3 linked regions of the Xenopus tropicalis genome follow. The protein of the gene in region 2 interacts with the protein of the main gene of each other region in a pairwise test. Links are inferred from orthologs where the notes say so. Each region holds a gene or a part of one and is shown on either strand. Other genes may lie near its edges.

Region 1 (10,907 bases), on a different chromosome or scaffold from region 2:
GTATGTGCACAGGTTTCCTTATAATAAGTGCAACAGAAAGGAGAATGTATTCACTACTATAAAGATGAGTATTTCTTTGGGTGCTAATGTGACCCCCTTACCTGGGAAGCGAGAGAGAGGGAGTCCCAGAAGAGACAGTAGGTTTGCCCGGGGCTGGGGGTTTCAGGAGTTCCCTGGGCTACACTGAGGCCCAATGTATAAATACAAAGGAGAACATGAGTGAGTGAGTGCAAAGCCTTCACTGTGGGAGTCCTGATTCTGGGCCCAAGTGTCTCCCAGTACCGCTGTGCAACAGAACCATTGCTTTATGGGCTCCGCCACCCAAACTGTGCACAACATGATATACAGTATATTGAATATACCCATAATCCAACACTGGGACCCCCTGGTTAATCATCTGGGAGGGGGGATACAGGGATAAGGTAGGTCCCAGGTACAAATCAGCCACAGAATGACCCAATGTCCCTTCCCGGCCCTTAGCCTCGGCCAATGATCTAAGACAAACAGGCAGACAGCTTGCAGGTACAGCGCTAATCTGTGGGATCCTCCCATTACCAACCTATATTATCCCTATAGTATCCTAACAATGATAACGTTCTATGCACATAAGATAATGTTTATAGAGGGGTTAATATGTGCTCATTAGCGTGCAATTAATTACACAGGTAGGAGAGAGAGGATCCCCCCACCCCCCATGTGTACCAAACTAATAATTATTATATTGCTACCATAGGGCCATGTCCCGTAAGAATAAATACAGAACCTAGAGGGAGGGGGCAGAGGAAGGAGAATATAATTATGGGATTATCTATGGCTCATATCATTGTGGGTGTAAGGGTGCTACGTCTGATGGGTCAGGGCGCTCATTCAGGCAGTTTGTTTGCTGTGTAGCAGCCCTGGATCCACTGAGACCATGTCCTATCATGTCAAACCCCGCCCACAATCCACCAAGCCCCTCCCACAATCCACCCAAGCCCCTCCCACTCCCTGCAAGCCCCATTCATGTTTCTCTGGACACCCCAAGGTTACCCCTTCTCAGTGCTTTTCATCTTCTAATGCTAAGGGGGCCCAGCCTGAAGGCCAGTTAGGGGGGGATTTGGGGTGAGTGCTTATTTGTGCCCTGGGTACCCCTGGAACTATAGCGGGGTGACTGTTACCCCAATGTTTCTATATATCTGTAACCTTGTTATGGGCTAAGGGGGCCCAGCCTGAAGGCCAGTTAGGGGGGGATTTGGGGTGAGTGCTTATTTGTGCCCTGGGTACCCCTGGAACTATAGCGGGGTGACTGTTACCCCAATGTGTCTATATATCTGTAACCTTGTTATGGGCTAAGGGGGCCCAGCCTGAAGGCCAGTTAGGGGGGGATTTGGGGTGAGTGCTTATTTGTGCCCTGGGTACCCCTTGAACTATAGCGGGGTGACTGTTACCCCAATGTTTCTATATATCTGTAACCTTGTTATGGGCTAAGGGGGCCCAGCCTGAAGGCCAGTTAGGGGGGGATTTGGGGTGAGTGCTTATTTGTGCCCTGGGTACCCCTGGAACTATAGCGGGGTGACTGTTACCCCAATGTTTCTATATATCTGTAACCTTGTTATGGGCTAAGGGGGCCCAGCCTGAAGGCCAGTTAGGGGGGATTTGGGGTGCGTGCTTATTTGTGCCCTGGGTACCCCTGGAACTATAGCGGGGTGACTGTTACCCCAATGTTTCTATATATCTGTAACCTTGTTATGGGCTAAGGGGGCCCAGCCTGAAGGCCAGTTAGGGGGGGATTTGGGGTGAGTGCTTATTTGTGCCCTGGGTACCCCTGGAACTATAGCAGGGTGACTGTTACCCCAATGTTGCTATATATCTGTAACCTTGTTATGGGCTAAGGGGGCCCAGCCTGAAGGCCAGTTAGGGGGGATTTGGGGTGAGTGCTTATTTGTGCCCTGGGTACCCCTGGAACTATAGCAGGGTGACTGTTACCCCAATGTTTCTATATATCTGTAACCTTGTTATGGGCTAAGGGGGCCCAGCCTGAAGGCCAGTTAGGGGGGGATTTGGGGTGAGTGCTTATTTGTGCCCTGGGTACCCCTGGAACTATAGCAGGGTGACTGTTACCCCAATGTTGCTATATATCTGTAACCTTGTTATGGGCTAAGGGGGCCCAGCCTGAAGGCCAGTTAGGGGGGATTTGGGGTGAGTGCTTATTTGTGCCCTGGAACTATAGCGGGGTGACTGTTACCCCAATGTTTCTATATATCTGTAACCTTGTTATGGGCTAAGGGGGCCCAGCCTGAAGGCCAGTTAGGGGGGGATTTGGGGTGAGTGCTTATTTGTGCCCTGGGTACCCCTGGAACTATAGCTTTAGCTTTCCCCATACATGAGGTGCCACCCTCTTACTCCCCCCTCACTGTCAGGCACAGCTGGCGGCTGCGGCACTAATCTCTGGGTGGCATCTCCTGTTACACAGCTGTGTGTGTTTGTGAGTCACAGGGGATTGGCCAGTGTGTGTCCCAGGCTTGCCCCATGCTGTGTACATTTGTGGTTATTTATATTAGCTACACACCACATTGACCAGATCTGCATTATGCACAGATCTCCCCTTGCTCTTTTATCAGGGTGTCTCATGTGATTTGGGGTTCTGCAGACATGCAGAAATGAATGCATTACTGTGTGTGTGGGGTCAGCAAAGTGCAGCAAGATGGAGACAGTAGGACAAGATGGAGACAGTAGGGCAAGATGGAGACAGTAGGACAAGATGGAGACAGTAGGGCAAGATGGAGACAGTAGGGCAAGATGGAGACAGTAGGACAAGATGGAGACAGTAGGACAAGATGGAGACAGTAGGACAAGATGGAGACAGTAGGACAAGATGGAGACAGTAGGGCAAGATGGAGACAGTAGGGCAAGATGGAGACAGTAGGACAAGATGGAGACAGTAGGACAAGATGGAGACAGTAGGACAAGATGGAGACAGTAGGGCAAGATGGAGACAGTAGGACAAGATGGAGACAGTAGGACAAGATGGAGACAGTAGGACAAGATGGAGACAGTAGGGTAAGATGGAGACAGTAGGACAAGATGGAGACAGTAGGACAAGATGGAGACAGTAGGACAAGATGGAGACAGTAGGGCAAGATGGAGACAGTAGGACAAGATGGAGACAGTAGGGCAAGATGGAGACAGTAGGGCAAGATGGAGACAGTAGGACAAGATGGAGACAGTAGGACAAGATGGAGACAGTAGGGTAAGATGGAGACAGTAGGGCAAGATGGAGACAGTAGGACAAGATGGAGACAGTAGGACAAGATGGAGACAGTAGGGTAAGATGGAGACAGTAGGGCAAGATGGAGACAGTAGGACAAGATGGAGACAGTAGGACAAGATGGAGACAGTAGGGTAAGATGGAGACAGTAGGGCAAGATGGAGACAGTAGGACAAGATGGAGACAGTAGGACAAGATGGAGACAGTAGGGTAAGATGGAGACAGTAGGGCAAGATGGAGACAGTAGGGCAAGATGGAGACAGTAGGGTAAGATGGAGACAGTAGAGCAAGATGGAGACAGTAGGGCAAGATGGAGACAGTAGGGCAAGATGGAGACAGTAGGGCAAGATGGAGATTGTATATAAAATTATTGGCCAGGGAACAGTCTATTATATCAATGGAAGTTTCAACTTTTTATAACAGTTGGTGCTGTTAAGGTGTGGGATTCCACAGCTGCCTGGCGTTAATGATTCTATTCTGGTGCTTGGTCCCCAAGGGGTTAAGTTGGGTTTTGGTTTTCAGTGGGACCTGTCTTTAAACGATATGTTAACCCCTAACAAGCCCCATTCAGATCCTCATTGCAGAATGGCATTGACTTTGTTGCCCCCGCTCACAGTAGGCCCAGCCCCCAGCAAAGACACAGGCCCTTATTACCCTACACTCTCTAATGCCTCTCTGGTGATAACTCAGCAGCACTGTCTCGCTTTACGGCAGGGATATATTCTCATATAGTCCCATAGAGATGTATGGGGAATGCTGTGCCGGTGACACGAGTGACATTAGCTCTGCAAGAGGGGGAGGCGACCACTAGAGGATTCTGGTAGTTCAGCAATGTTTGTAGGCTACAAATTCACTAGTTCCATACATTGCTAATGGCAGCCCAGCACTTCAACCCACTGCTACCCCTACATGACTCCCTTGGGCTGTGCTCTTGCCAGCAGAGCTGATACTCATTTCTATATTAAGGCTAAGCAAACAGAGATAAGGCCAGGGATTGCCCCTGACCCCATTTGCTCTGCCTTATCTGCTCCTGCCCCACAGCTGTGCTCCTAGTATTTGCTCAGAAGGAGGATTCTGGGCAATAAACCAGCCCCCTGCCATATTAATAGGGGTGCGAGTCGCTCAGTCGTCCCAGAGGCCAGAACTTCTAACAGGTAACACTGAAGCGCCACCTGGGGGTCAGGGTGGGACACTGCACCGGGGGAGACAGTTTCCTTTGGGGCTGGGTCCATTGAATGTGGGTATTTGGTTCAATTCTGCTGGGGTTTGTTCTGACCCATTACCTCTGTGGGTTCCCATATGGCTTGTAATGCTCTGTGTATATACAGTAGGATAAAGCGAGGTACATGGCTGGGGGTAATGCTTCTCTTTCTCTCCCCCCAGAATGCTGCTGTGGGTCCTACTCAGTGTGTGCTGCCTGGTTGCAGGTGAGACCCCCCCCCCCCCAGATCATATAAGGGGAGCCCCAGAGATATTATAGGCTATATAGAGCAATGTATAATGCAGGGCGGGGGGACAATGCCAGTTAAAAGAAACAATCGGGAATGGAAATGTGTAATAATAATAATAATAGTAATTACTGTATGTGCTTAGACGTTTCCTTTATTGAGCAAAAAAAAAGTGGAGGAGTTCATTCTTATTGCATTAATATAATAGCTTTTATAGTCATTGGCTGCAGTACCGTGTCTCACCTGTCTGGGTCAAGGACGGTTTTCCCCATAGGTTGCAGTAGAACAGCGCCACCATCTCATACATAGAGAGGGCAGAGGGTTAATCAGTAGGGGGCGCTGTACACAGGGGTACATACCATGTAGGGGACGCTGTGCCCTTTTGTACTGTGTGTGGCGCTCATGGGTCTGTGCTCCCCCAGCTCAGCAGCGCAGCTCGTCTTACTCTGGAGAATATGGCGGCGGTGGCGGCAAGAGGTTCTCCCACTCAGGGAACCAGCTGAACGGGCCACTCACAGCTATTCGCATACGGGTGAACCGCAACTACATTGTGGGGTAAGTCATACAGATACCGTCTGCTTCTGTGCCTCACTACTTTGTCTGTGCCATGTCTATACTGCTGCCATCTTGTCTGTGCCATGTCTATACTGCCGCCATCTTGTCTGTGCCATGTCTATACTGCTGCCATCTTGTCTGTGCCATGTCTATACTGCCGCCATCTTGTCTATGCCATGTCTATACTGCTGCCATCTTGTCTGTGCCATGTCTATACTGCCGCCATCTTGTCTGTGCCATGTCTATACTGCTGCCATCTTGTCTGTGCCATGTCTATAGTGCCGCCATCTTGTCTGTGCCATGTCTATACTGCCGCCATCTTGTCTGTGCCATGTCTATACTGCCGCCATCTTGTCTGTGCCATGTCTATACTGCCGCCATCTTGTCTGTGCCATGTCTATACTGCTGCCATCTTGTCTGTGCCATGTCTATACTACCGCCATCTTGTCTGTGCCATGTTCATACTGCTGCCATCTTGTCTGTGCCATGTCTATACTGCTGCCATCTTGTCTGTGCCATGTCTATACTGCCGCCATCTTGTCTGTGCCATGTCCTTACTGCTGCCATCTTGTCTGTGCCATGTCTATACTGCCGCCATCTTGTCTGTGCCATGTCTATACTGCTGCCATCTTGTCTGTGCCATGTCTATACTACTGCCATCTTGTCTGTGCCATGTCTATACTGCTGCCATCTTGTCTGTGCCATGTCTATACTGCCGCCATCTTGTCTGTGCCATGTCTATACTGCCGCCATCTTGTCTGTGCCATGTCTATACTGCCGCCATCTTGTCTGTGCCATGTCTATACTGCCGCCATCTTGTCTGTGCCATGTCTATACTGCCGCCATCTTGTCTGTGCCATGTCTATACTGCTGCCATCTTGTCTGTGCCATGTCTATACTACTGCCATCTTGTCTGTGCCATGTTCATACTGCTGCCATCTTGTCTGTGCCATGTCTATACTGCTGCCATCTTGTCTGTGCCATGTCTATACTGCTGCCATCTTGTCTGTGCCATGTCTATACTGCCGCCATCTTGTCTATGGCATCCAATGGCGCTGAGCCCTGACCCTATGCCAATGTTGGCTTGCAGGCTACAGGCGCGCTATGGCACGGCATGGAGTGACTATAAAGGGGGCAGCCTGGGAGATTTAGAGGAAGTTTTCTTGCACCCCGGGGAGCACATAATCCAGGTCTCGGGCAAGTATTCCGTCTACATGCGCCAGCTGGTGTTTGTCACAAACAAGGGTCGCTACTTCAGGTTTGGGAAGGACTACGGAACCAGTTTCAACGCGGCGCCCCTCTTCCCCAACACCGTGCTGCGCTTCTTCAGCGGGAGCTCCGGGTCCGTCATCGACGCCATTGGCTTCCACTGGGACTACTCCTCCAGCGGCTGCACCCACTGCAACAAGTGATCCCGCCGAGCCCACCCCCTGCCTGCAGGACTGGCATTCCCTGTGTAATTCATTTATATATGATTATATATTCCCTGCGCTTCTGTCAGCGCCCCCTGCTGTACATCACACACATTGCAGAGTCTCCCCTGAGATACATTCCTGCCCCCCAGCATCCGCCTCCGATTGCCTTATCCTGCATCTCAATGTAACTCACCCAAATGCTTGCAATTAAATCTTTATCCCGAGTGTTGTGTTGCTTCTACTAAATGGGATATTTGGGAGGAAAGGTCACATTTTTATTTTAACATTTGGTTATATATGGAATAATTTCTTATATATTGGATAAAGGAAAACCCCCTAACCCTGTAGGCAATTATGAATAATATCCGGTGCTGGTTTCCCTTTGGGCTAAACATTAACCCTATCTGTAACAATGGCCCCTTTATTGGAGCTCCCTATAGATCCTCTCAGGTCCCTGTCTGGGTTTCACATGAGGGGTGGGCGTGTCCTAACGGTCCCTGCCAGAAGCACAGTAGGAGGGGGAGAGCCAATCACAGCCCTGCAGTCACACAAGCACAGACAGGCTTCAGTTCCCTATCAGGTCAGCCTAGCTGCTGATTGGTTCCTATCCTACAGTGCCGCCGGCCCCCCTGCACAGCCTGGAAAAGGAGGCAGCAGGAAGTGGAACAGATGGGCGGGGCTAGTGGGGTTTCGGGAGAAATTTTCAATAAATCAGCCTGAAACACTACTTTTTAAAGCCCATTCCTTCTATATTTAGATGAGTACAATTCATTGGCACAATATTAATTTTTAGTCAATATGTCCCCTTACAGCTGCACAATGCCCTCCCACCTGTATCAGGTGTAGCAATTTCTCCACAAGGTGGCAGTGTTGCCATGGTGACTGGAGACAAAGTCACTATCACAGAGGTAAGCCCTTTACAGACTGTGGATGGAAGTGCGTCACATGGCCACAAGGTGGCAGCACCTCCCTCTATGGGAATTTCTCTCCCACAGCAGTAGAATTTGCAGTTATGGCATGAACTCCTACCGTACCAGCTGGTTGGATGTTTAGTGTTTCTGTTGCCTTTTAGTCCTCCATCTTTTTTCCATTTTCCATCTTTTATCCAGTTGGGACAGGTCTCTCCTGCCTACAGCCGCTGCCCCTGGTCTAATAGATACAAACCCAGCGGATAATTATACCCAGACCCCGGTGACACCCAGCTGATATTGGGCTCCCCAAAGGCTGCAGTGATAGGAGCCACAGTCGTTACGAAACCCTTGTAATTAACTTGCCCTACTGTCTCCATCTTGTCCTACTGTCTCCATCTTGTCCTACTGTCTCCATCTTGTCCTACTGTCTCCATCTTGCCCTACTGTCTCCATCTTGCCCTACTGTCTCCATCTTGCCCTACTGTCTCCATCTTGCCCTACTGTCTCCATCTTGCCCTACTGTCCCCATCTTGTCCTACTGTCTCCATCTTGCCCTACTGTCTCCATCTTGCCCTACTGTCTCCATCTTGCCCTACTGTCCCCATCTTGCCCTACTGTCTCCATCTTGTCCTACTGTCTCCATCTTGCCCTACTGTCTCCATCTTGCCCTACTGTCTCCATCTTGTCCTACTGTCTCCATCTTGCCCTACTGTCTCCATCTTGCCCTACTGTCTCCATCTTGTCCTACTGTCTCCATCTTGCCCTACTGTCCCCATCTTGCCCTACTGTCTCCATCTTGTCCTACTGTCTCCATCTTGCCCTACTGCCTCCATCTTGTCCTACTGTCTCCATCTTGTCCTACTGTCTCCATCTTGCCCTACTGTCTCCATCTTGCCCTACTGTCTCCATCTTGTCCTACTGCCTCCATCTTGTCCTACTGTCTCCATCTTGTCCTACTGTCTCCATCTTGCCCTACTGTCTCCATCTTGCCCTACTGTCTCCATCTTGCCCTACTGTCTCCATCTTGCCCTACTGTCTCCATCTTGCCCTACTGTTTCCATCTTGCCCTACTGTCCCCATCTTGCCCTACTGTCTCCATCTTGTCCTACTGTCTCCATCTTGTCCTACTGTCTCCATCTTGCCCTACTGTCTCCATCTTGCCCTACTGTCTCCATGTTGTCCTACTGTCTCCATCTTGTCCTACTATCTCCATCTTGCCCTACTGTCTCCATCTTGTCCTACTGTCTCCATCTTGCCCTACTGTCTCCATCTTGCCCTACTGTCTCCATCTTGCCCTACTGTACCTGCTTTCACCCTGCCTACGTACAACTGCTGCTCTACAGGGCACCACTATGTGCTGGGCACCAGGCAGTTGCTGAACCCCCCATAGAACACTATAGATATATCCGGGGGGGCACTGCCTTGCCCATTGCCCTATTTCCCCTTATCCATCTCTGCAGACTGAATGACTTTGGGAAAAACAGGATTTATAAGTAACTCAGCTTGGCACAAACTGCCACATTGGGAAGCCCTGCTGGAAGCTGCTCTGAGATTTCTTACCTGGGAAACAGCTGGTGCCATACAGGTGGGCAGGATAATGTGCCATACAGGTGTGCCCCCCCCCCCCCCCCCCCCCAGGGCAGAGCAGATTAACATCAGCTCCATTATTTATAGGCATAACTGTATCTTGTAGAGTGAGATCTGTATATCCAACCACATCCAACCGTATCCAACCACATTCAACCACAGGATAATGGGCAGGATAATGTGAGAGAGAGACAGGGGCTTGGGGGGGACACTATATTATTTACTGGGGGTGAAACTCGAAGGCCCAGAAACTATGATCTGCCCCAATTCCATTATATCCCTTTTGCTATACCCTATTAATTACCCCTCTCCTTCTTTGTCTCTGCATCTCTTCTTTCAAACCTCTTTGTCTCTCTCTCTCTTCCTCTTCTAGATGTCTCTTTCTCCCACCAGCATTCCCCATCTCTTCCTCCCATCCATCCTCCTCCTCCTCTTCTTCATCCCAGCTCCTCATGTTCTCTGTCTCTCCCACCAGCATTTCCCATCTCTTCCTCCCATCCATCCTCCTCCTCCTCTTCTTCATCCCAGCTCCTTATGTTCTCTGTCTCTCCCACCAGCATTCCCCATCTCTTCCTCCCATCCATCCTCCTCCTCCTCTTCTTCATCCCAGCTCCTCATGTTCTCTGTCTCTCCCACCAGCATTCCCCATCTCTTCCTCCCATCCATCCTCCTCCTCCTCTTCTTCATCCCAGCTCCTCATGTTCTCTGTCTCTCCCACCAGCATTCCCCATCTCTTCCTCCCATCCATCCTCCTCCTCCTCTTCTTCATCCCAGCTCCTTATGTTCTCTGTCTCTCCCACCAGCATTCCCCATCTCTTCCTCCCATCCATCCTCCTCCTCCTCTTCTTCATCCCAGCTCCTCATGTTCTCTGTCTCTCCCACCAGCATTCCCCATCTCTTCCTCCCATCCATCCTCCTCCTCCTCTTCTTCATCTTGACTCCTCATGTTCTCTGTCTCTCCCACCAGCATTCCCCATCTCTTCCTCCCATCCATCCTCCTCCTCCTCTTCTTCATCCCAGCTCCTCATGTTCTCTGTCTCTCCCACCAGCATTCCCCATCTCTTCCTCCCATCCATCCTCCTCCTCCTCTTCTTCATCTTGACTCCTCATGTTCTCTGTCTCTCCCACCAGCATTCCCCATCTCTTCCTCCCATCCATCCTCCTCCTCCTCTTCTTCATCTTGACTCCTCATGTTCTCTGTCTCTCCCACCAGCATTCCCCATCTCTTCCTCCCATCCATCCTCCTCCTCCTCTTCTTCATCTTGACTCCTCATGTTCTCTGTCTCTCCCACCAGCATTCCCCATCTCTTCCTCCCATCCATCCTCCTCCTCCTCTTCTTCATCCTGACTCCTCGTGTTCTCTGTCTTTCCCACCAGCATTCCCCATCTCTTCCTCCCATCCATCCTCCTCCTCCTCTTCTTCATCTTGACTCCTCATGTTCTCTGTCTCTCCCACCAGCATTCCCCATCTCTTCCTCCCATCCATCCTCCTCCTCCTCTTCTTCATCCCGACTCCTCATGTTCTCTGTCTCTCCCACCAGCATTCCCCATCTCTTCCTCCCATCCATCCTCCTCCTCCTCTTCTTCATCCCAGCTCCTCATGTTCTCTGTCTCTCCCACCAGCATTCCCCATCTCTTCCTCCCATCCATCCTCCTCCTCCTCTTCTTCATCCTGACTCCTCGTGTTCTCTGTCTTTCCCACCAGCATTCCCCATCTCTTCCTCCCATCCATCCTCCTCCTCCT
Region 2 (10,974 bases):
TCCAGGCAGCAGGGTACATGCAGGGAATAGAAATGGGGAGGGGGAGAGAGCAGAAGGTAGGAGGAGGGAGGAGCAAATTGAGCAGGCTTGTGCCATGGCCTAAAAAGGAAGTCTAACAAAGAAGATCATATATACAGAATAGCCAGGGTCGGACTGGGGAGTGCAGGGCCCACCGGGGCTCCCGCCCCAGGGGCCCTGCAGGTGCCCCAGCCGCGTCCCCTAACCCCTCCCCCCCCCGCAGGGCCCCCGCCTGACGTCCTCCCCGAGCACATATAAATTGAACGCATCAGGGGAGGAACAGTCAGTAGGGGGAGCGCCGGCAAAGGTCGGACTGGGCCGCTGGGGCCCACTAGGGCCGGGGCCCACCGGGATTTTTCCCGGTGTCCCAGCGGCCCAGTCCGACCCTGAGAATAGCAGGAAATGTGGTGTTTGTTTTCACTAAGGGCTCAGAGCAGCAGTTCTGTAAGTGTTTATGGATGTATTTTCTTTCTGATAAAGCTTACTTAGTTTTTACCTTTCCTTCTCCTTTAAAATTCAACAGACATTTAAATGAAGACTGAAGCAAATATAGTACAAACTTATTTATGCAACTAGATGTTTTAACACAGTAACAAGGAATTTTGTAGTTTCCGTGTTATAACCTCTTCACAAAAAATTGGAACTGGTTATTAGTCTGAGCCACGTGGTGTGTGCCAACAGTTTCACTCAGGGCTTTGTCTACTGTAACCCCTGTCCCCAAGGTTTTAAGTAATTCTTCAATCTGTTGTGCTCCCGGAGTACCAAACCAAAAGCTATTCATTTGTATTGATCTCGGCTATAACCATTAATCTTTTCTATCCCTCAGAGAATAGGACTCTTCGCAGTGATGACTGTGATTTTAACCCTCAGGTTAACAGTATTAGTTTAACAATATGGCACAATTAATATACTAATTACAATTAATAGAATAATATACAATCAAAGGCAACATTTACTCATTAGTAACTGAAAATAGTGGCACAGATCCTGATCTCTGCTTGCAAAAGCTGGCTGTATGGCAACTTGGCGAGGCGACCGATATCGGAGAAGGCTGCGGATATCAGTCGACTTGATCGGGCGGGTTAAAAGATTTTGATCGGGCGCCATAGAAGGCGCCTGAGCAAAATCTGCCTTCAGGGCTGAATTGACAGAAGGAGGTAGAAATCCTATTGTTTCTACCTCCATATCTGACGATTCAGCCCTGAATGTCAGTGGAGGGTTGGAACCGATGGTCAATGGTCGCACGAAAGATCGAAAATCGCCACGTGTGTGGCCAGCTTAAAGGAGAAGGAAAGGCTAAGTCACTTGGGGGTGCCAAAATGTTAGGCACCCCCCCAAGTGACTTAGAGCGCCTACCTTGTACCCCGGGCTGGTGCCCCTGTACGGAGGGAACAGCACCAGCCCGGGGCACCTGTAGACACCGCTTCCTCCTTCCTTTGCGCACTGCCGGCGAAATCCGCCGGCCGGCGCATGCGAGGAGGAAGGAGGAAGCGCCGGCAGCTACCCCGGGCTGGTGCTGTTCCCTCCGTACAGGGGCACCAGCCCGGGGTACAAGGTAGGCTTTCTAAGTCACTTGGGGGTGCCTAACATTTTGGCACCCCCAAGTGACTTAGCCTTTCCTTCTCCTTTAAGACTCCCAATTTGTGCCTGCTCTTTGATATCTCCTTTTAAAAGTAAACAAATATAAGCAACACACAAACACTTGAAAATCGTACAGTACAAAGCACTTGTGTGAAATAATGCTGAAGTAGGCACTGTTAATTAAAGGCACAAGGATCCAGAGTGCAAATGCTACACCTACTGCATCCTTTGTAGCCAAAACACTACAATCATTTTAAGGGGAACTATAACGAAATTAAAATTCAATATAAGCGTCAATACTGAAATAATACAGTTCCTACATATAATCAATTAAAGATTCAGAACAGTTTCTGAAATAGCCAAGTTTATCTTCATTGTCTTTCATTTTCTCTTCATGCAGGAGTTGGGTGTCAGATTTTCATTAGCAGTTAGATAAAATATATCTTTTGCAGGTTCCCCTTTTCTAGCAGATGTATAATGCTGGCCATACACGTGGCGATCTGACGATGTTTGAAACATCGTCAGATGTGCCACACACCATTCAGGGCTGAATCGGCAGGTAAGGAGGTAGAAACAATAGGATTTCTACCTCCTTCTGCCGATTCAGCGCTGAAAGGAGATTTTGATCAGGCGCCTTCTATGGCGCCCGATCAAAATTTTCCAACTGGTCCGATCGGCGAGTCGGCCGATATCAGCAGCTTCCTGCGATATCGGTCGACTCGCCGACATACCATACACGCACCGAATATCGTACGAAACGAGGTTTCGTACGATATTATCGGTGCCTGTATGGCCACCTTTAGAGCTTACTCAAATAACTGATTCTAGCACAAACAAAATTGCTAACTTTGGCACAAATCCTATCTGTGGTGGTTTTAAAAGATTGAGCTCTAATGCATCTTCTAGGCAAAGGAAACTGCCACCACTCTAGAGATATATTGGATCTGATATTTAAAATCAGGCTCCCACCTCTTGCTTGGAGAGAGGAAGAAGAGAGACAGATGCTGCGAAGCAGGAGAGCGAAAAACAACTTGATTATTTCAGAAATGGGCAGAATTTTAGAAAAAATTTAGAAAAAATCATGTTTTAGTATGCTGAAGCTTATATTGAACTTAAATATTTGTGATAATTCCACTTTAAGCTTAATAAATGTACCCTCTTTACCTGCCTATATCCTGTACCCACTGAATGTGAAATTCAACTGGTCAATTAATGTCCCAATCTGGCCATTAAGTTATTTTCCCCTCTGGCCAAAGATGTTATCCATTAAGTCCACATACGATAATCAAACACCCTGTTGGGGGCATGGGAGAGAGGAAATAAGAACATAAAAGCAGGCTAAACACAGGCTAGTTTGCCTCTATGTTTTGAATGACAACAAGGGTTCTGAAAATTAACTAGAGCTGGTCGACTGCAATGTAGCACATATTTTCGTTAGAAAGCCATTAAGTATTATAGCCTTGTAATATTATTTATTGGTATAATTACCCAGGCATGCACTGCGCCAATACTCTTATATTATTCAAAACTCATATTAATGTTACCATTAAATGTCGGTGTTCCCTGTGCATACCGATATACTTCCAGACGTTAGCTACCTGGCTCCAGGAGCATGGACAATTGTCTCTGACCCGAAACCACCATAGTACAAACAAAAACGCAGCAGTCCAGAGACTCTGAGACACATTCGCGAATCCGACTAATGACGCCACTTCCTGTATGACAGCTGACAGGTGATTCCGAATCCGGTTCCGGGCTTTCGCATGTGAGTAGTGGTGTCTGGTAAGACTGGGTCAGAGAGATTTTTGGGGGGGGTGCCTTTGTGCATGGTAAGGTTAATATAGGTGTTACTATTTTGTGGTAATATGATGGAACCGACATATAACAGACCAGGAAGTTCTGTTGAACACGCTGGTGATAGAGAATGTTGATACAGGGGAGCGGAATGGAAAGACTCAGAGATATATTTAACTAATATATTGGTGCCAATGGCGGCCCGGAGCTTTTTTCAGTTTAATTACACGAACGTGTACTAATACTGCTGGGGCTTCTGACGTGTGGGAGGTGACTTTGCCTAGGTCTGGGTGTCCTGTCTGCATCCGCTCAGCCATTACTGAACCACAGGATCCTGTATGTGCTGATAACAGCATTGTTGACGTCTGTACCATCCATTTGACACAGTACCATCCATTTGACACATTTCTGACCGCTACTGCCTTTAGGGCTCTGGCACACGAGGAGATTTGCGTTTTTTCCCCCTGGTGCTTTGGCGACAAGTCGCCACGACAATACCCACAAAGAGATTTCATGCGAGTTGAGCTCCAGGCGATCTGCTACCCATGGTACACTCAACAGTCAACCCCCCCTCATGTTTACTCAAGTCGCTCAGAAAAGGGTCTGTGTGCGATTTTAAACAGCAGGCGATTTGAAGCTGACGCTGGCGATTTCCATTGATTTATATCTTGTCGCTCGTCTTGTCGCCAAATCGCTCTTTTAAAAATCGCTGGCAACAAATCTCCTCATGTGCCACAGCCCTTAAACTGGGCTTTCCCTAAAATTCTTCAGCTGATTAATCATCCATGCAATGGAAAGGTCATTGGGGCTCATTTATCAACACTGGGCTCATTTATCAACACTGGGCAAAATTGCACCTTGGCAGTAACCCTTGCCAACGAATCAGTGATTAGCTGTTTTCAGCTGGCTGAAGGTTGGGAAAGAAAAAATCTGATTGGTTTCCGTGGAGTTACGCCCAGGGGCAAATATGCCCTGTCTTGTAAGGGACCTGTGGTGTTTCTGAAAGTGCTATGCCGTAGTGATAAAAATACTAGGTATTTTAGCAGATGCTGCAGCTCTTATGTTGAAGTCTACCTTTGGAAGATAATACAGTGTGTGTATGTCATACAAACCCTGTTAACTGGGTGGAAATATTGAAAATGTGTATAAGTGTGGCCCTAGATATATGGGTTGTGGGTGACCATATGTACATAAACACTGTTTTCTTTTTCCTTTGAGACCTGTGGCATATCCAGTGGCCGCTCTAAACAACAGTATTTGTTGAACAAGGGGAGCTAAAAATGACGAACATTATTGGATATGCCTGCAGAGAATGGTGCATTGTTAATCATTTGTATAAATGTACTTGTGAATATTTGCTTAATGATAAAATGGCAAAGACTGGTGATTCTGAATGGTACCTGGAAAAATATATCTATTTTTTTTTTTATCAGATATGAATTCATATTCACTGACATTGTTTATGTTTTAATGCCAGTTTATTTGCAGAGTCGGACCTTGTCACTTGAAGTGTTCACAAATCCAATGGCTGACAAAAAACGCTTAGCTTTCTCCATTATTCGGCATTTACATGACCAGTTACGCAATGGTGGGCTTTCCTCAGATGCACAGGAGAGCCTGGAAGGTCTGGTTGTTACTTCATATTCTATCTTTCTGTTTATTTGATGGGGGAACTATTCTTATGAGACAAAATAGTTTTTTCTTTTCCTTGCTTTTTCATAAAACTTATGATATTCAGCCTGCACCCACCTGGGGCTACTGAACTACTGCCAGATACTTGAAGTGCAAGTTTAACAGGCAGTAGTCCAGAGGATGGAGAGCAGTACTTTTAAATGCATTCTAATATCTAAATGCTTCTTACCATGCATACGGGCAGTAATCCCCAACCAGTGGCTCGCAAGCAACATGTTGCTTACCACCCCTTTTGATGTTGCTTCCACCGGCCTCAAAATAGGTGCCCATTTTAAAATTTCTGGCTTGGAGGCAGGTTTGAAAGCCAGACACAGATTTACTCCAAGCAGAGCCTCCTGCAGGCTAGCAGTCCATTTGGGGCTACCAAATAGCCCATCAGGATGTTGAGAGTAAGTTAAGATTTTTTATGTAGTGTATAACGTGTTATGAATGTTTTGTTTTTTTAAATTATTAATGTAACAATTTTCAGCCTGCAACTGAAAATGCTCTCTGGTTGTTGGAGATCATTGACCTGGGCGAGTAAAATTGAATGAATGTGAGAGTTCAGATTTATTGTTAGTTTGATTATCTTTTTTTCTGTTCATCTTCTTTTAATCATCCATTGTGACTTCCAAACTGCTGTCTGGTTGTTGTATTAGCTTGCACCTCTGGTGGGGAAGTGTTTCTGTTGATCAGTCTCAATTACACCCTGATTCATTCATTTAATAACTGTAAAAAATGAAAATGTACAAGTTTGTAAATTAATATTGTGAATGTTAGTCCACAAATGTTTTCAATGCAAGCCTGCATTGAATGAATTAAGTGTTCCATCCCAGGGAAGTCTTCTGGTCTTTCTCTGATGCTTGAATGCAGGAACTATTGGATTACTTTAAATATATTTGTGTATAATTACTAGATGGAAGCATTATGTAATTTGAATTTTACAGTTGCTATTCAGTGCCTGGAGACAGCCTTTGAGGTTTCCATTGAAGACAGTAACTTAGCTGTACCAAGGAGTCTCCAAGAGATATTTACAGAAGCCACATGTCAGGTAATCCTTGTAATTAGTTATTGACTGACATGAAATGGCATTGTTTTGGAAAAAAATGAATTGCGAAATTCTAAACTTTTTAAAGTCTACATACCATATTTCATCTTTCTTACAAACTTGATAACATAAAGGAGTAGGAAAGTTACAGTTACTGGGGCCAAAGTCTTAGGCATCCCCAATCATTGTAATTGCTTGCCTAAAACCCCCAACCAGTGCTCCTCTTAGGAGAAAACTGCATGGCTGGTGTGTATGTGAGCTAGTGATCCTTCTTCACATGCTCAGTAGAGAGAAAAGCCAGCTTTTCCGCTCAACTGCGCATGTGTCTGTCCTGGGATTATAAAGAAAGAAGACAGGAGGAAGAGGAAAGCTAGCTTGCATATACCCTGGGCCAGTGCAATTTCATCCTAACAGGAGCACCGGGCACAGGTATCAGGTAAGAGATTACAATCACTGGTGGGGGGGGGCTAACATTTGGCACCCCTCCGTGATTTAGCCTTTCCTTCTCCTTTAATCACAGCTTTTACTATAAGACTTTGTAGCTCTACATTCTAAGCTTTCTTACCGTTTTGTAAACTGAAACTTAAAACTAGCAAAGAAGAAAGATTGGTTTGCTGTCTAGACCATAGTTTTGGGAAAATGGTAACTTAATGCGCTGTTAATTAAAGCATTCTTCTTCTCTCCTCCCAAATTCAGGACTCTCCGCAAGTTAATTCTGGCCTGGCCTCCCCTTGTGATGAGGATGTAGCAGAAGCTGAAAGATTGAAGACAGAAGGTTGGACACTTGACATGTTGCATGATCTCTTAAAGGACAAGGCAACGCAAAATATAATTTTTGCCTAATAAAAGAAAACAAGATTCTAAGCAGCTTTGCAATATACATTTATTACAAATTTGTAATGATTTTTGAGTAATTTGTATTTATAATTGCTATTAAAAAGCAGTGTTTGCCTGTCCTTTTCTATTCTCTACCCTGGTGACTCTGACTGTTGAAACAATGTAACACAAGGCAGCAGATTGACAGACTTGACTTGCTGGAGGAGACAGTTGCAACACTGATTAGAAAGTAACAACCAGGAGTTCAGCAAATGCTGCTTTCAATAGCAATTACATTTACAAATAACTTTTAAAGCGCTACAAATTTTTAACTATTTTTCATATTGGAAAATTGCTTAGAATTATGTTTTCTTTTCTTATGCAAAAAGTTATTTTTGGGGTCGACATGCCCTTTAAAATTGTCCCTTGTATTAATTGTTCATGACTGTGAGGTTATGCAGAATATTCAATTGCATTAATTGAGAAGCCATGGTATATTGGTAAAAAAAAAATGGCATTAAGGAGTACATTTTGGGACAAGAAAATACTTGTGGTAGCATAGTTAGACAGTATGGCAGTATAAGGATATTTGATTTAAAGGCGTTTATATAATCTCCACTTCTCTAAATTCACATCTTAACTTTTTTCCTATATTTTTCTTTATATCACCCTCATTTCACCTTTCACCCTTAATCCAGATTTCTTTGCCATTTGCCACTGATTTTGTCCATTTAATATAATTCCCTTACATATTTGTCCTTGTATGTATTTGTGCCCTTCCACTTCAAACTCCCTACTTCTACACTTTGTTTTCTCCTTTTGCTCCACCTTGACCTCCAGCTGCTTTTTAAAGGAATACTGTCATGGGAAAACATGTTCTTTTTCAAAACTCATCAGTTAATAGAGCTTCTCGAGCAGAATCCTGTATTGAAATCTGTTTTTCAAAAACTTTGAAGCTGAGTTTGCAGACTCAAGGCAATTTTGATATCAATTAATAGAAAGAGAAAGAATTACTGTCATGTTATTACTTTTCTTAAACCTGTATCTGTGTTTTAATTATTGTGGCCAGAGGTAGTTTTTGGTGTATGTACCATTAGATGAGCAGAGAATCTTGTTTTTCTTAGGCAATGAGCAAATGAAATTAGAAAATTTTGAAAGTGCTATTTCCTACTACTCAAAAGCTCTTGAACTGAACCCAACAAATGCTGTGTACTACTGCAACAGGTATGTATCTACATACAAGAAATATGTGTGTGTGTATATATCTCTGCTCTTCCCACGAAGAATTAAATAGCAGGCAAGCTTAACCTTTCCCGTGCCTGCCTGTCTGCTTCTAAGGGCACTCCCTCCCCCACCATTACACATAGACAACGGAGCTGAGTTTGTCACACACCGCTGAAAGCAGAAGGGGCATTGCAGGTTTGTGACTGGGCATATTTATTCACTTGGGAGGCATTTCAATTAAAACCCGGAAGAGGGGAACAAACATGGCTGCTCCATGGGTCTCATGCTACCATAATTATGAAGCGAAAAAACTTTGCAGATTTAGGTTCTAAGGAATTTAAAGCTGATACAAATTAAAACACAACAGCAGGTGTAAAAAAAATGTTCAAGTGGCTGTCCATAACACTTTAATATTTAATTTAGAAATTTCATACATATATATATATATATATATATTAAAATGTACTGTTCTGTTCAGTAATTTGTGCCTGTTTTTGTCTTTAGTAACATTAGTAACATATTTTTGCACACAACTTTTACATAAAAGCTTCTGGTTTCATTTGTCATGTCATGTATCTGCAACAGTTGCAAAACAAGGCATTATTAATCACTATATTGCGTGTCTTTTTACACAGGGCTGCAGCTTACAGCAAACTGGGCAACTATGCTGGAGCTGTGAGGGACTGTGAAGAGGCAATTACAATTGACCCTAACTACAGCAAAGCTTATGGCAGAATGGGGTATGTTCCTGTTTAAGTTACTTTACCTTACAATTATGGAAGAAATGTTTTTAAACCATTCTTTTTTAATATTTTTAGACTGGCACTTTCAAGCTTGAATAAACATGCAGAAGCTGTAGGTTTTTACAAACAAGCCCTGATACTGGATCCAGACAATGAAACCTACAAATCAAACCTAAAGATTGCAGAACAGAAAATGAAAGAGCTGCCCAGCCCAGTGAGTATTCTTTGTTTATCCTGTGGTGGGGAGATCTGTTTTTATAAGTAATCTAACAGGATCTTTAATTTCATCTAGATGGCTGCTCCTGGAGGTTTTGATTTGGCTGGCTTGCTCAATAACCCAGGCTTTATGAGCATGGTAAGTATCCTCTTTAGTGTTTTTATCAAGATTGTATTTTCTTCTCTTAATTTGAGAATAGGGGCATAATATGGAGCTAAAATTGTCATTATATAGATGTTTTATATATTTATTATTAATTTAATTAATTTTTGTACAAAAAAATGCTTGAGATGCTTGAATATATTGGTTCACCGTCATTTTACTTTAATTGACTAGTAGTCTTATTGTGCAAAAACCAGCACCATCTAAATTGAGCAATACACAAAGATGGTGTACTAACATTTATAGAATACTTATTGTTCTAAATCAGTGCTGTCCAACTTCTGTTGTACCGAGGGCCGGAATTTTTCCGGCCTACGTGGTGGAGGGCCGATAATGGAAGCCAGTTTTGACCACTCCCCTTTTTGAAACCGCACCCACTTGAAACCACACCCATGTTATCACATGACCATACCCATATTAATGGTTGTAGTACAGCAAAAACCTGCCATACTCTGCCTGCCCTACCCTGCCTGCGTGCCATACTTTCACTGTGTGTGCCATTCTTGGCTGGTTTGTGCCAAACTTGGCCTGTGTGTGCCATACTCTGCCTGCCCTACTCTGCCTGTGTGTGCCATACTCTGCTTGCCTTATGCTGCCTGTGTGTATGGCACACACAGGCAGCCTACAGTGACACAATGCTGGCACTGCTCCTACAGTCTGCACAATAACTATATATTAAAATTTTTTATTTGCAGTACCAGCTCAGTATATGTTCTTTTTGTAGTGTGCAGGGATTATTTGTGGGTTTCTACTGCTCCTGAGGTGTGAACAGGGGAACAATGGGGGTGATTACAGCCTGAGCCTGAGGTGTCAACACTGCAGGGGGAACAATGCAGAGATTAAAAGGTGTGAACAACTCAGGGGATTACATGTTTAAACAATACAGGGGGATTACAGCCTGAATCTGAGGTGAGAACCATGCAGGGGGCCAGCTAATCTCAGTACTGATACCATTTAAAGTTTACACAAGAGTAAGCCATCAAAGCAGCCAGACAGGTGGGGGGCCACACAGAGGGGGGTCACGGGCCGCATGCGGCCCGCGGGCCGCCAGTTGGACAGCACTGTTCTAAATCATCAAGTCCAGTGTCACCAAGAACAATTGTGTACAGTGCAGATTTTCTTTTCTCTCTCCATCTGTCTGCTATAAGTCTAAAAGCCTTTGTGCATGTAGAACTTACAGCATTTTCACTATTATGTCTTTTCACTGTAGGCGTCAAATCTTATGAATAACCCCCAAGTTCAGCAACTGTAAGTTGTATTACATTAAGTCTTTACATTTTTCAGATTTAAATTGTACAGCTATAGGAAGTGTAGACAGTGAGATTCAGTACACAGCTTTTTTCTAACCACACATTTAGTAAATAGGCTCTTTATAATAGACTTGGGGCATTATTATTTTAAACAAAAACTTTATCCCCAAACAATGTAGGTCTCTATAAAAATATAATGCATAAACAAGCTCATGTGTAAAACCCTGCTTCATCTAAATAAACCATTTTCATGAAAATATACTTTTTTAGTACTATAGGCTATTGGGTACTGCTAAATAGAAAATTGTCATTTTAAAAATTAAGGGCCACCTCCTGGAATCATAGGATTCACAGTGCACACAAACAAACCAAGGCACACATACATGGTAGGCCCCATCAGCCACACTTCTTCCTGTTACAGTTAGAGCTGCATTAGTTCTGGTCATGTGA
Region 3 (10,974 bases), on a different chromosome or scaffold from region 2:
GAATGCTAAGAACTCACTCCCCCCCTTAGGAATGTGGATCTCAGCCAATCAGCAAGAATCTGACTCATAGGGGCCCATTTACTTACTCACGAACGGGCCGAATGCGTCCGATTGCGTTTTTTTCGTAATGATCGGTATTTTGCGATTTTTTCGGAAAATTATCGTGACTTTTTCGTTACCAATACGATTTTTGCGGAAAAACGCGAGTTTTTCGTAGCCATTCCGAAAGTTGCGATTTTTTCGTAGCGTTAAAACTTGCACGAAAAGTTGCGCTTTTTTCGTAGCGTTAAAACTTAAAAGGCGCGACGTTTTGCGCAAGTTTTAACACTACGAAAAAATCGCAACTTTTTGCGCAAGTTTAAACGCTACGAAAAAATCGCAACTTTCGGAATGGCTACGAAAAACTCGCGTTTTTTCGCGCAAATCGTATTGGTAACAAAAAAGTCGCGATAATTTCCGAAAAGTCGTAAAGGCGCCGAAAAAAATCGCAAAAAATACGAAAAAGTCGCAAAATGTTCGTTTTCCAATCTGAATTTTTCCAATTCGGATTCGAATTCGTGGGTTAGTAAATCAGCCCCATAGTCTTACTAACTGAGCATGTTCACTTGGTCTGGGTGTCTGTGCAGGAGCGAGGCATTATGGGAACTTTGTTTACACAGCTCAGCGTTTTTTCTTCCTGTTTGGCTTCTGATCATCTGAACAGGTGAAATATGGGGAGACTTAAGGGCACTATTGAGACTACTGAAGTTATGCCTGCAGCTTGAGATTAACTCTTTATTAGCCTTTCCTTCTCCTTTAAAAATGATTTTCTTTTTATCTGTAATTATAAAACAGTACCTTGTACTTGATGCTAACTAAGATATAACTAATCCTTATTGGAGGCAAAACAATCTTATTGGGTTTACTTCATATTTAAATGATTTTCAACAAGTTATGGAGATCCAAATTATGGAAAGATCCCTTATTCGGAAAACCCCAGGTCCGGAGCATTCTGGATAACAGGTCCCATACCTGTACTGAATATTAAGAACAATAGGGCAAGCAAATGTATCAATGCTTAGCACAAAAAAACATATTTAAAAGGGGATGTCTATCTTTTCCCATAAAATGAATATTTAAAAAATGCATTTGTCACATAAAATCAAATAACTCAATTTCTGGGTTCAGAGCAGTGGGGAGAGAGACAGTGCTTGACAGAGAAGAGTCAAGGGTTATTGCACATGCCTAAAATGTCCTCACTGAGTTTCTGTGCACTCATCTGATTGGCTGAAAATGTATGCATATGACTAATCCAAGCATATAAAAAAGCTCTTAAGGGCTCTGGCACACGAGGCGATTTGTCGCCTGCGTTTTTTCCCCCTGGAGCTTTGGCGACAAGTCGCCACGACAATACCCACTAAGAGATTTCATGCGAGTTGAGCTCCAGGCGATCTGCTACCCATGGTACACTCAACAGTTAACCCCCCCTCATGTTTACTCAAGTCGCTCAGAAAAGGGTCTGTGTGCGATTTGAAACAGCAGGCGATTTGAAGTAGCCTCGTATGTTTTGACGCTGGCGATTTCCATTGATTTAGCATTGGCGTCTTGTCGCTCGTCTTGTCGCCAAATCGCTCTTTTAAAAATCGCTGGCGACAAATCTCCTCGTGTGCCAGAGCCCTTAAAGCTGCTGAATAGCAGTTACTTTGTTTATAGTTTATATAAACAAAGCTGGTTAATAGCCATGGAGTAGCTATTTAAACTGAAATAGGGCTAAATGGCACAGGTTACATAGCAGATAGCATAAGCTCTTAAAACACCATTGTATTCTATACAGCTTATCTTTTAGCAGTTATGTAATGTGTGCCTTTTCTCCAGCTGGAATGGCTGCCCCAATGGCTACACAGCAGTTTATTTATTTTATATAAACTATAGTAGTCTTTCAAAAGCAATAACACAATTTTTACCAGTGTAGGGGAGCAGTACTTTATATTTTAATTTGTTTAAAACTTCCCCTTTTAGTGTTACTGTTCCTTTAAACCCTCATTGTCCTCTTTGATTTCACTCTACACACTTCAGTGTGTGCATAGCGGAGGAGAGAGCTGATGACTGGCTCCTCTAGGGGTGTAGCTGGAACAGGATAATTAAGTAAGCTAATAGCATAATTTATATAAAGCAAAAAAACTATATGATCATATTGGCAAAAGTGTTTTGGAAAGGTCCTGCCATTAAGACTTTACAAAAGACGGCCTTCACTTTTAAAAGCACTAATGCAACAAATGATATTTTTCCAGTGTTGACCTTAAAAGCAGATAAAGAATTGGGATTTTACTGTGTACAGCAGCTCTTTTCATTCAATAAGCCACAATAAACCCTTCCACCACCCTGGTATTACACTATTAGGTATAAAAATAGCAACTGAATCTGCAAATAGATACCAAGTATAACAGAGATAGAACACAACATGAATGGAGTAACAGGTTGCTAACACTACATACACTATATTACAAATAAACATTCTTCTCACTGGAATACAGTAATAAAAGTTACATCAGACAAAAAAAAAAATCATGTATGTGATCACAAAAAAAAAAAATGCTTAAAGCCAAGTTTCCTAGAAACAGCCCATGTGGCCATTGTCACCCACAGGTAGCACTTCTAACTCACTGCATTGGAATAAGATGCTGGAAGTGGTGTCCATGTAGAATTGTACGTTATACAATAATCCTTCGCAGAGGAAGGATCCTGATTTCCAATTGCATGTAGAATTCCTTGGTTTGCATGTACCTAAAGAAAACAAACAAATTTGTCAGACCTGCCACAGAACAAACAGCCTAACACGTCTGTAAACTCGTGCTTTATGCTTGAGAGGTTTTTTTAAAGGGAAAATCATACCTATGATGGCACAGGCTGTTTTCTTTACTGATGTATTTCAGCTGGGTCAGAACGGCCCATGCCACCTCACACTGATCATAAAGGGAACCACCTAACATCACTAGTGGTGGTAACCTTTGAACACAAGGCCCCCATGTCAAAGGGAGGTGGCATTGCCGTTTCAGCTCTTAACCAACGGCTGAAGTGCAGAGAAATCACCCCATATCCAGCAGTCATATTGGTTTAACAGTAGTATCATATAAAGAGCAAAAATATAGAGAATGGTGATATTCTTCACCATCAATGAGCCAATGTGGTTCCCGATCCAACACTAAATTTTTTTAAGTAAAAAATCTATTCTACCCTGAACCAATAACTGCCCTATCCTGCACAGTGTTTATTATTTTAAATGCTTTTGTTAGAAAATACCTTCTAAATCTCTGCATCCGGTCACTTCAAACACGGCGATCTTTCCCCTGCACAATCCACTACACGACAATCAACATCTCCTCCTAGTCCGACTCCAAAACTGGAAGTCAATTGTTTGCCTGTACAGAAGGAAGGCTAGGAGGAGATGTCAATCATCGCATAGTGGATTGAGCAGGGGGAAGATCGCCGTATCGCCGTATTTGAAATGACAGGATGAAAAGTTTTAGAAGGTATTTTCTAATAAAGCATTCAAAATAATAAACGCTGTGCAGGATAGGGCAGTTATTGGTGCAGGGTAGAATAGATTTTTTAAATAGTATTACTTTTCCTTTAATCTATGGCTAAATATGTTTTCTTATGTATTCCAACCGTCTTATGAGCTAAGGGGACCCCTCACCAAAGGTTCAACTTGAACCAAAATAGTCCAACAAGCTCTACAATGTTTCATTAACAATTAATATTTCAGTCATTTGTTCTCTCAGTTAGAAAACCAAACTGTCTGTTTTTACTAGTATGCACAGATTAACTCTTTTCTGAACAGCTGAAAGCACTGAATTCACCATAAGCTTTTATTATCTGTTCTATTTTAAATCTCAAGGGAGATTAAAAAAAGATAAAATATGTAATGTTCTGTGCCAACGTCACATGTCTATAAACTGTGGCCAATAGGTTTATTAACCTATCTTCTGTTACAGTGCTGAAAGCTTTTTGTCATGAATATAAAGCTACATGGAACCAACCGTCAAAAATTAAACAATTCTGCAGCAAAGCAATAAGTAATTCCAGGTTTAACCACTAACTTTTACTGGCCGTTGTTAATAAACATACGGAGCAAAGGCTCATTTAAGATTGCAGGGCAGAGGGCACAGTGCAAAAAAACAGGTGTATCTTCACAAATTTTGTTAACTTCTAATTTATTTTGTCAAATTACATATTTAGTTCATTTTTTAAACTTTGTAATTGTGGCATGTGCAAAAGTTTGGACACCCTAGTAAAAGTGATCATACATGTTAAGATCTGCTTATTTGGCGGGATCACCTCCAACTTGTTTCTCCCTAAAGGTGGGCGATATCGGTGTAAACCAGGGATCCCCAACCTTTCTTACTTGTGAACCACAGTCAAATGTAAAAAGACTTGGAGAGCAACACAAGCAGCATAACAGTTCATGGAGGCGCCAATTAAGGGCTAAGATTGCCTATTAGGCAGCCTCTATGCACACTATCAGCTTACAGGGAGCTTTATTTGGTAATAAATCTTGTTTTTAATCAACCTAAAATTGCCACCAAGTCAGGAATTCAAAAATAACTACCTGCTTTGGGGGCACTGAGAGCAACATTCAAGGGGTTGGTGAGCAACATGTTGCCCCCAAACCACTGGTTGGGGATCAGTGAGCTAAACAATCAAATTACAACGGCGGGCATAGTTGTCATCAGAGGCAGCATACACGGGCAAATAAGCTGGTGTATGGCCACCTTTAGTCAGTATTTAGTAAGACAACTTTTAGCACAGACCACAGCTTGTAAAAGCTTTTTGAAAACATTTTTGCCCACTCTTTCTTGCAGATCCTTTCTAATTACAAGATTTTCTTGGGCCATCTTGCATGTTTAAGATCTAGTTACAGATTTGCCACAGAGAGCCATTCCAAAAACCTTCAGCTTGCTATTCTCCAAGCTCATGAGCCCTTATTAAGGTCTGTAACTGTCAACAATTAAGTATAGGGACCTTGCAAATGTTTTACCATTGGACAAGTGTTAGGGTGTCCAAACATTCTGCAAAAGCCACAATTACTATTTTATTTGTTCCTATGTTTTGAACTTTAAAAAACAATTTAAATTTTTTTAACACACTAAGCCACAGTACATCTAAGGGTAAGGACCCACGGAGTGGTTCAGATGCACGCAATAGATCTCTGCTATCGTGGGTGACTAACTGCTCCAAAATGGCTTTCCACTGGCAACAATAGGAGTCTCTGGCAGAAATCCCTTTGCATTGCTTCCGTGTTCCTAAGTCACACAAAGTTTCCTCCTGTGGCAACATTCTTGCTGGTGGAAGATCTATTGCGGGTGACTGAACCACTCCATGGGTCCTAACCTAAGGGTGAAGACACACGGAGCTACTAGAAGCACTAATTTGTCACAGCTACAGAAACAGACAATGCTGATCTTTTACTGACAATTGTCTCTATGTGTGTTGTAGCAGAAGCATTTCTCAGTATTGTCTATGGCAGGGCATTTTCTGCCATTTAGTAGCCATGACAAGTAGCTGCTACTAAGTAGCTCCAATCAAACAGCCATGATATAAAAAAAAAGATTACATGTGTCCATGTACTAGATACAATACAAGAAGGTAATGTAATAAAATCACTATTCAGCTGTTCGAAAACTAACATCTGCTCAGTTGCCCAGGGTTATGAGACCTAGGCAAACACTGCACTTTTAATTACATTGCTCTTACATACACCAAAAATTGTAGTTTACCAAGAGCTACATTTCCGATCCCCATGCCCTCTGCCAAGCAGCTGCCCCATCCTGTTACCTGTGCCCAGTGCAGCAGCAGCAGTAGAGTGAGGCCCAGCGGCACAGACGAGCCCATTCTCTCACAGCGCAGCTGTCAACTCAAACCAGGAACCGGGTCACGGATACATGTAAATAAGAAGCACAGTGCGTATCTCGGAAGGATGCTTCTACAAATAACAAGTGGCCTCTCAATGTTTTTCCAGCACTTTTCACCATGGACTCGGAGCAGGGCCGCACTGGGAATAGAAAAGAAGCCCTGGCAAAAAAAATCAAAACAGCCTGTATATAAACAAGCAGTGGTCTTCTACTCATATATATTGCCACACATATATTAGGTTAAAACTACAATATATTATGTTATAATATTTGCAAAGTTGCTATAAATAGGACATTCTATAACACACAAGTTAACAAACTTGCCACAAGTAACAGCTCTACCTCCCCCACCCCCAGAATTGTGCAGCCTCTATGTCACCCCTATACTGCAGCATTACATTAATGTTACACTATGTCACAGCTTCTGCCTTCCTGATAAAACCAGTGGTGGCCTTTCCTGCCTCCCCTTCTAAATTACAGTCAGACCTTGATTTTATATATCCCTTGTTTTACGTTTTCCCAGATTTCATTTTTTTTCTCCTGGTAAACGTAAACTAGGGAACTGTATGGGAAACGGTTCACTCGCCTCCCCATGGGGTCGGTCACGGCTAGCCCAACACCACGTACTCCCTCCCTACCAAAGAACTGAATATGGTACTTACCTGTGAGCCTTAGGATTGCTGCGGTTTCTTTCGTTTTCAGGCACAGGTGGGGTATAGTGCTGAGCAGGCCCAGACTGGCGAATGCCCGATGGGTTGCTCTATTAATGTTAATATGGGCCGCTCAGTTGCGTCTTAAAATCCAATTCGATACAGCGCTGCACTTGCCTGTCCCTTTAGCTCTGGGGTCACACAGCCCACCCGAACTAGCACTTCCGGGGCCGCCTTATTAGTTTCTCTGTGTCAATGTCGCCGCATTCTACAGACAATTCTCTCGGTCTCTGCCCCTCCCCTCTCTCCCTCACTGGTGCAACGCAGCCCGCCCCTCCCTCACTGGTGCAACGCAGCCCGCCCCTCCCTCACTGGTGTGATGCAGCCCGCCCCTCCCTCACTGCTCTACAGGATGTTAAAGGACCAGTAACATCAAATGATGTTAATACTTAATTACCCTCAAAACTGCTATTGCTTCGCACTGATGATATAAATCTCCTAGCCTTTTATCAGTGTCTGCAGTATAAATTTATGCTCACATAACCTTACCCCCAAAGCTGTAAGAAGAAATAGAAACATGTATTTAAACTGCAGATGCTGATAAAAAGCTGCCTTAGAGGCATTTTACAAGTAAAATTCAAGGATTAAAAAAAAAATCAACTAGGATGTAAGCCTTAATTACTACTATAGAAGTTTTGGGGGTAATTAAGTGTAAGGGCTCTGGCACACGGGGAAATTAGTCGCCCGCGAGAAAACTCCCTGTTCGCGGGCGACTAATCTCCCCATGTGCCAGAGCCCTTAAAGGACATGTCAACCCCCCAACCAAAAATGTTATCAGTGAAAAGCCTCACAGCATTCTCTAAATACCTGCCACTCCAGTCCCTCAAAAGCAAACAGTGAAGCTGCAGCGATCCCTTGATATTTCTCCCTCTGCACAGCTCTGTAACTCCCTCTCCCCCCTCCCTTCAGAATCTCCTTGTCTGCCTGGCCTGGTGCACATGCACACTTCCAGTACATTTTAATGAGCATGCGCATTTAAGATGATTGTGTCCTCTAAACAGCATTTTGTTAATAAAATTTTTTTTTTCTTTTTTTTAAATCCTTCAAGAGGTCAGGCAGGAGGGGCCATGCACGCATGGAACCTATACGCGCATGGAACATATACACACGCTCGGTGACGTCACCCGGTAATATGGCCGCTGGGTGACACGGGAATCGGAAAAGAATGCGGCGGTGCAGGCTGTAGGAGGACATTAAGGGAGCGGCACTTATGCGGTTGAAGTGGGGGTAAGGCTCCCTATCCAGTAAAACTGAAATTAAAATTAGGGTTGGCATCTCCTTTAAGGTGGCGATACACTTTCAGATTTTAGTCTCCTTCCAAGTAACGTTCGATCATACGTTTAAATGCAGTGATCTAAAACTAACGTTCAGACTGAAATTGTAGGATAAAGCCATAAAAATAACAAAACGGAGGATGAAATAGTTGTCAGACACTGGACGTAGGAAAGTGACTGAGAGGAAACTTCACTTTCACTCTACTGCGCATGCGCCGGAGTCACAGCAAAACGAAGGCGGAAGAAGGAAGCGCATCGCCCCAGGTGCCCCGGGCTGGTGCTGTTTTCTCCTAACAGGGGCACCAGCCCGGGGTACGAGGTAAGCGATTCAAGATATTGCCTTTTCTTCCCCTTTAAGTCTTCACCTTGTAATGCGTTGCCACAGGCAGACAATGAGCTATGAAAAGAGGTGCATTCTACCACTTACTGGCAACATCTGGGTAGCAACAAGTGATGCCTGACAGGAGAAATTATATGCGCACTGATTGTACAAAACAAAATCACTTCCTGGTCTCTGCAAAGGCACTTTGCATGCACAGCAATGTGCTGGAATTTGTGTTTATTAATGTGGTTTGTGAGTGTGCTGCAACTAGAATGAACAATGCATAGTCTGAAGAACCTTATGTGAGTTATAAAGCAGTTTGATTCACACCCGAGTTTAGGCAGAAGAAGAACTAACTGCAAGCTAATTTGAAAGTTTTGTTCTTTCTTTATTTAGGGACATTTCATATGGGCTACTATTAATTTACTTTATAAAACCAAGCTCTTTATAAACCAGCCCAAATTGCAATTTGTCTAAATCCATGTTTATGAGAAGATATGGGGCTCTAAATAGGGTTGAACCAGACAGTCTGGTTTTACATGTTATGCTTTTCACACAAACTGGTTAGTCACACTTGCCTTTAATACAGCACACAGCATGATTGGTATGCAGTTAAATGTCCTGCAAGACAAACATCCTGTCACATGCTGTCTACAAGTGCGCCTAACCAGCTTTTGTGTGTGACACTATTTTAGTCATATGGTACCCCCTCTCTGTATTACCTTCAGATAGATCACCTCAAACTTGGTAACATCTCCTGGTTAAGGATGTATTTCATGAGATTCTTTCTCTCAGGAGGACCCTCACTGTATTAAGGTAGGAAAGGTCTGCCTCACTGAACTGCATACACACACAGAGGAGATTTCTGAGCCTAAAGGTGGCCACTTCCTCCACTGACGTTCAGGGCTGAATTGTCAGATATGGAGGTAGGAACAATAGAAATTATACCTCAACCTGCCAATTCAGCCCTAAATATAGATTTTGCTGGGGGACCTTCAGTGGCGACAGACTATTGTGATATATAAAACCCTTGCATAAGCTGTAGGGACTCTCAAATGGTGGCAGGGTTCCAGATCTGAAATATATTTATATAGGCAGATGATGCACAGACCTGCCTTGTTTTCACCTCCCCTGTCACTTTAGACCTCCTGCGATATCGTTCGACTCGCCGACATACCATACACGCACCGAATATCGTACGAAACGAGGTTTCGTACGATATTATCAGTGCGTGTATGGCCACCATAACACTCTCTTAAAGGAGAAGGCAAGGCAAAGTCAATTGGGTGTGCCAAAATGTTAGGCACCCCCAAGTGACTTAAATCACCTACCTTTTACCCCAGGCTGGTGCCCCTGTTCGGAGAGAACAGCACCAGCCCAGGGTAGCTGCAGCGCTTCCTCCTTCCTGCTTCGCTCGCGCGCACATGCACAGTAGAGTGAAAAAACCGAACTTTAACAGAGAAGTCGGCTTTTCACTCTACTGCGTATGCGCCTGTAGTCCTTGCAAAACGAAGCCGGAAGGCGGAAGCGCTCGCTACAGGTACCCCGGGCTGGTGCTGTTCTCTCCTAACAGGGGCACCAGCCCAGGGGTACCCTGGTAAGGTAAGTGATTAAAGTCACTTGGGGGTGCCTAACATTTTGGCACCCCCAAGTGACTTAGCCTTTCCTTCTCCTTTAAAGCTCCTCAAAAATCACATTCTAAAGGAAGCACTTAGCTAGTCTTCTGCAACAGTAACAAACCCTTGACCAATACAAAAGGGTGGTCCCTTTTTGCTTCTGTCTGTCTCCTCTTCCTGATAGAGTGTAAAGGCCATACACACTAAAATTTCACGACCTCACCAAGCGAGCGGATCTTCTCCCGATATCCCCACCTACGGGTGGGTGATATCGGGCTAATTCAGAAATTTGGCCCTGGGGCCAAACAATCACATTAGAACGACAGATATAGGCGCAGTCTGTTTGGGGACTGCATCAATGAGCCGATACTGTCCCCGATCCGGCTAAAATTTTAAACCTGCAAGCCTGTCGTTTGTGCGCATACATGGGCCGATAAGCTGCCGAGTCGGTCTAAGGGACCGATATCGGCAGCTAGAATCGGCCCATGTATGGCCCCCTTAAGTTCTTCACAAAAATCTGGAAGAGCACTTGGAAAGTGCTTCAAGGAACAAAACATGTCATATAAATGGAAACAATAGAAAGGAACCTCCAAATAAAGAGTTTAGGGAAACAATTCATCCCCACTTAATTTTTGTTCTTCCTTTTTGAACATGTTTTTTATGACATATCTTGAATATCTTTCACCTTTAAGGAAAATATATACACATAATGCATATTTAAAATAAGGTACAGCAGCACCCCCTGGTGGACTGATTAATTTTCAAGAAAATAAAAATAGGACAATATGATTCCGGAAACAGACCCTCTACCAGTTTGGGTACCTACAGAACAGGCAAAAAAAAGTCCCGAACACAGGTGATCTACAAGTACCCTTCAGGAGTCAGATGGGCTGCAGATGGTAATAAAGATTTGGGGCCAGAATGTATATACTGCCAAATTTCAGCTGCCGATTCAGGTCCTTCAGACCGAATTAGCAGCTTATATGCCCATGTATGGGCACCCCCGATGGCCCTACCCGACCAATATCTGGGCTAAAATTGGCCAGATCTCGATCGTGCAGGTTCGATTTTCCCTCAGAATGGGAACTGCATTGGCTTGTTGATGCAGTCCTCGGTCCAACAGAGCCTATGTCCGCCGTTGTAATTCGATTGTTTTGCAGA

The links.
Region 1: the proteins of sgta (region 2) and zymogen granule membrane protein 16-like interact in binary tests that used the Homo sapiens proteins (3 or more experiments, as listed by UniProt). The two-hybrid records come from large-scale screens. The link is inferred for Xenopus tropicalis from reciprocal best matches to the Homo sapiens genes SGTA and ZG16.
Region 3: the proteins of sgta (region 2) and sppl2a interact in binary tests that used the Homo sapiens proteins (3 or more experiments, as listed by UniProt). The two-hybrid records come from large-scale screens. The link is inferred for Xenopus tropicalis from reciprocal best matches to the Homo sapiens genes SGTA and SPPL2A.

Annotation. Positions count from the first base shown.
Region 1 is NC_030685.2:5,089,827-5,100,733, forward strand, and holds zymogen granule membrane protein 16-like, read left to right. Parts: upstream 1-4,370; 5' UTR 4,371-4,401; intron 4,402-4,630; 5' UTR 4,631-4,631; coding exon 4,632-4,674; intron 4,675-5,117; coding exon 5,118-5,250; intron 5,251-6,340; coding exon 6,341-6,662; 3' UTR 6,663-6,890; downstream 6,891-10,907. UniProt on the Homo sapiens protein: May play a role in protein trafficking. May act as a linker molecule between the submembranous matrix on the luminal side of zymogen granule membrane (ZGM) and aggregated secretory proteins during granule formation in the TGN.
Region 2 is NC_030677.2:99,255,250-99,266,223, forward strand, and holds the start of sgta (small glutamine-rich tetratricopeptide repeat-containing protein alpha), read left to right. Parts: upstream 1-4,873; 5' UTR 4,874-4,917; coding exon 4,918-5,017; intron 5,018-6,011; coding exon 6,012-6,115; intron 6,116-6,808; coding exon 6,809-6,887; intron 6,888-8,052; coding exon 8,053-8,152; intron 8,153-8,787; coding exon 8,788-8,892; intron 8,893-8,970; coding exon 8,971-9,109; intron 9,110-9,187; coding exon 9,188-9,250; intron 9,251-10,484; coding exon 10,485-10,522; intron 10,523-10,974. UniProt on the Homo sapiens protein: Co-chaperone that binds misfolded and hydrophobic patches-containing client proteins in the cytosol. Mediates their targeting to the endoplasmic reticulum but also regulates their sorting to the proteasome when targeting fails.
Region 3 is NC_030679.2:104,718,101-104,729,074, reverse strand, and holds the start of sppl2a (signal peptide peptidase-like 2A precursor), read right to left. Parts: upstream 6,435-10,974; 5' UTR 6,301-6,434; intron 6,052-6,300; 5' UTR 5,872-6,051; coding exon 5,815-5,871; intron 2,764-5,814; coding exon 2,644-2,763; intron 1-2,643. UniProt on the Homo sapiens protein: Intramembrane-cleaving aspartic protease (I-CLiP) that cleaves type II membrane signal peptides in the hydrophobic plane of the membrane. Functions in FASLG, ITM2B and TNF processing.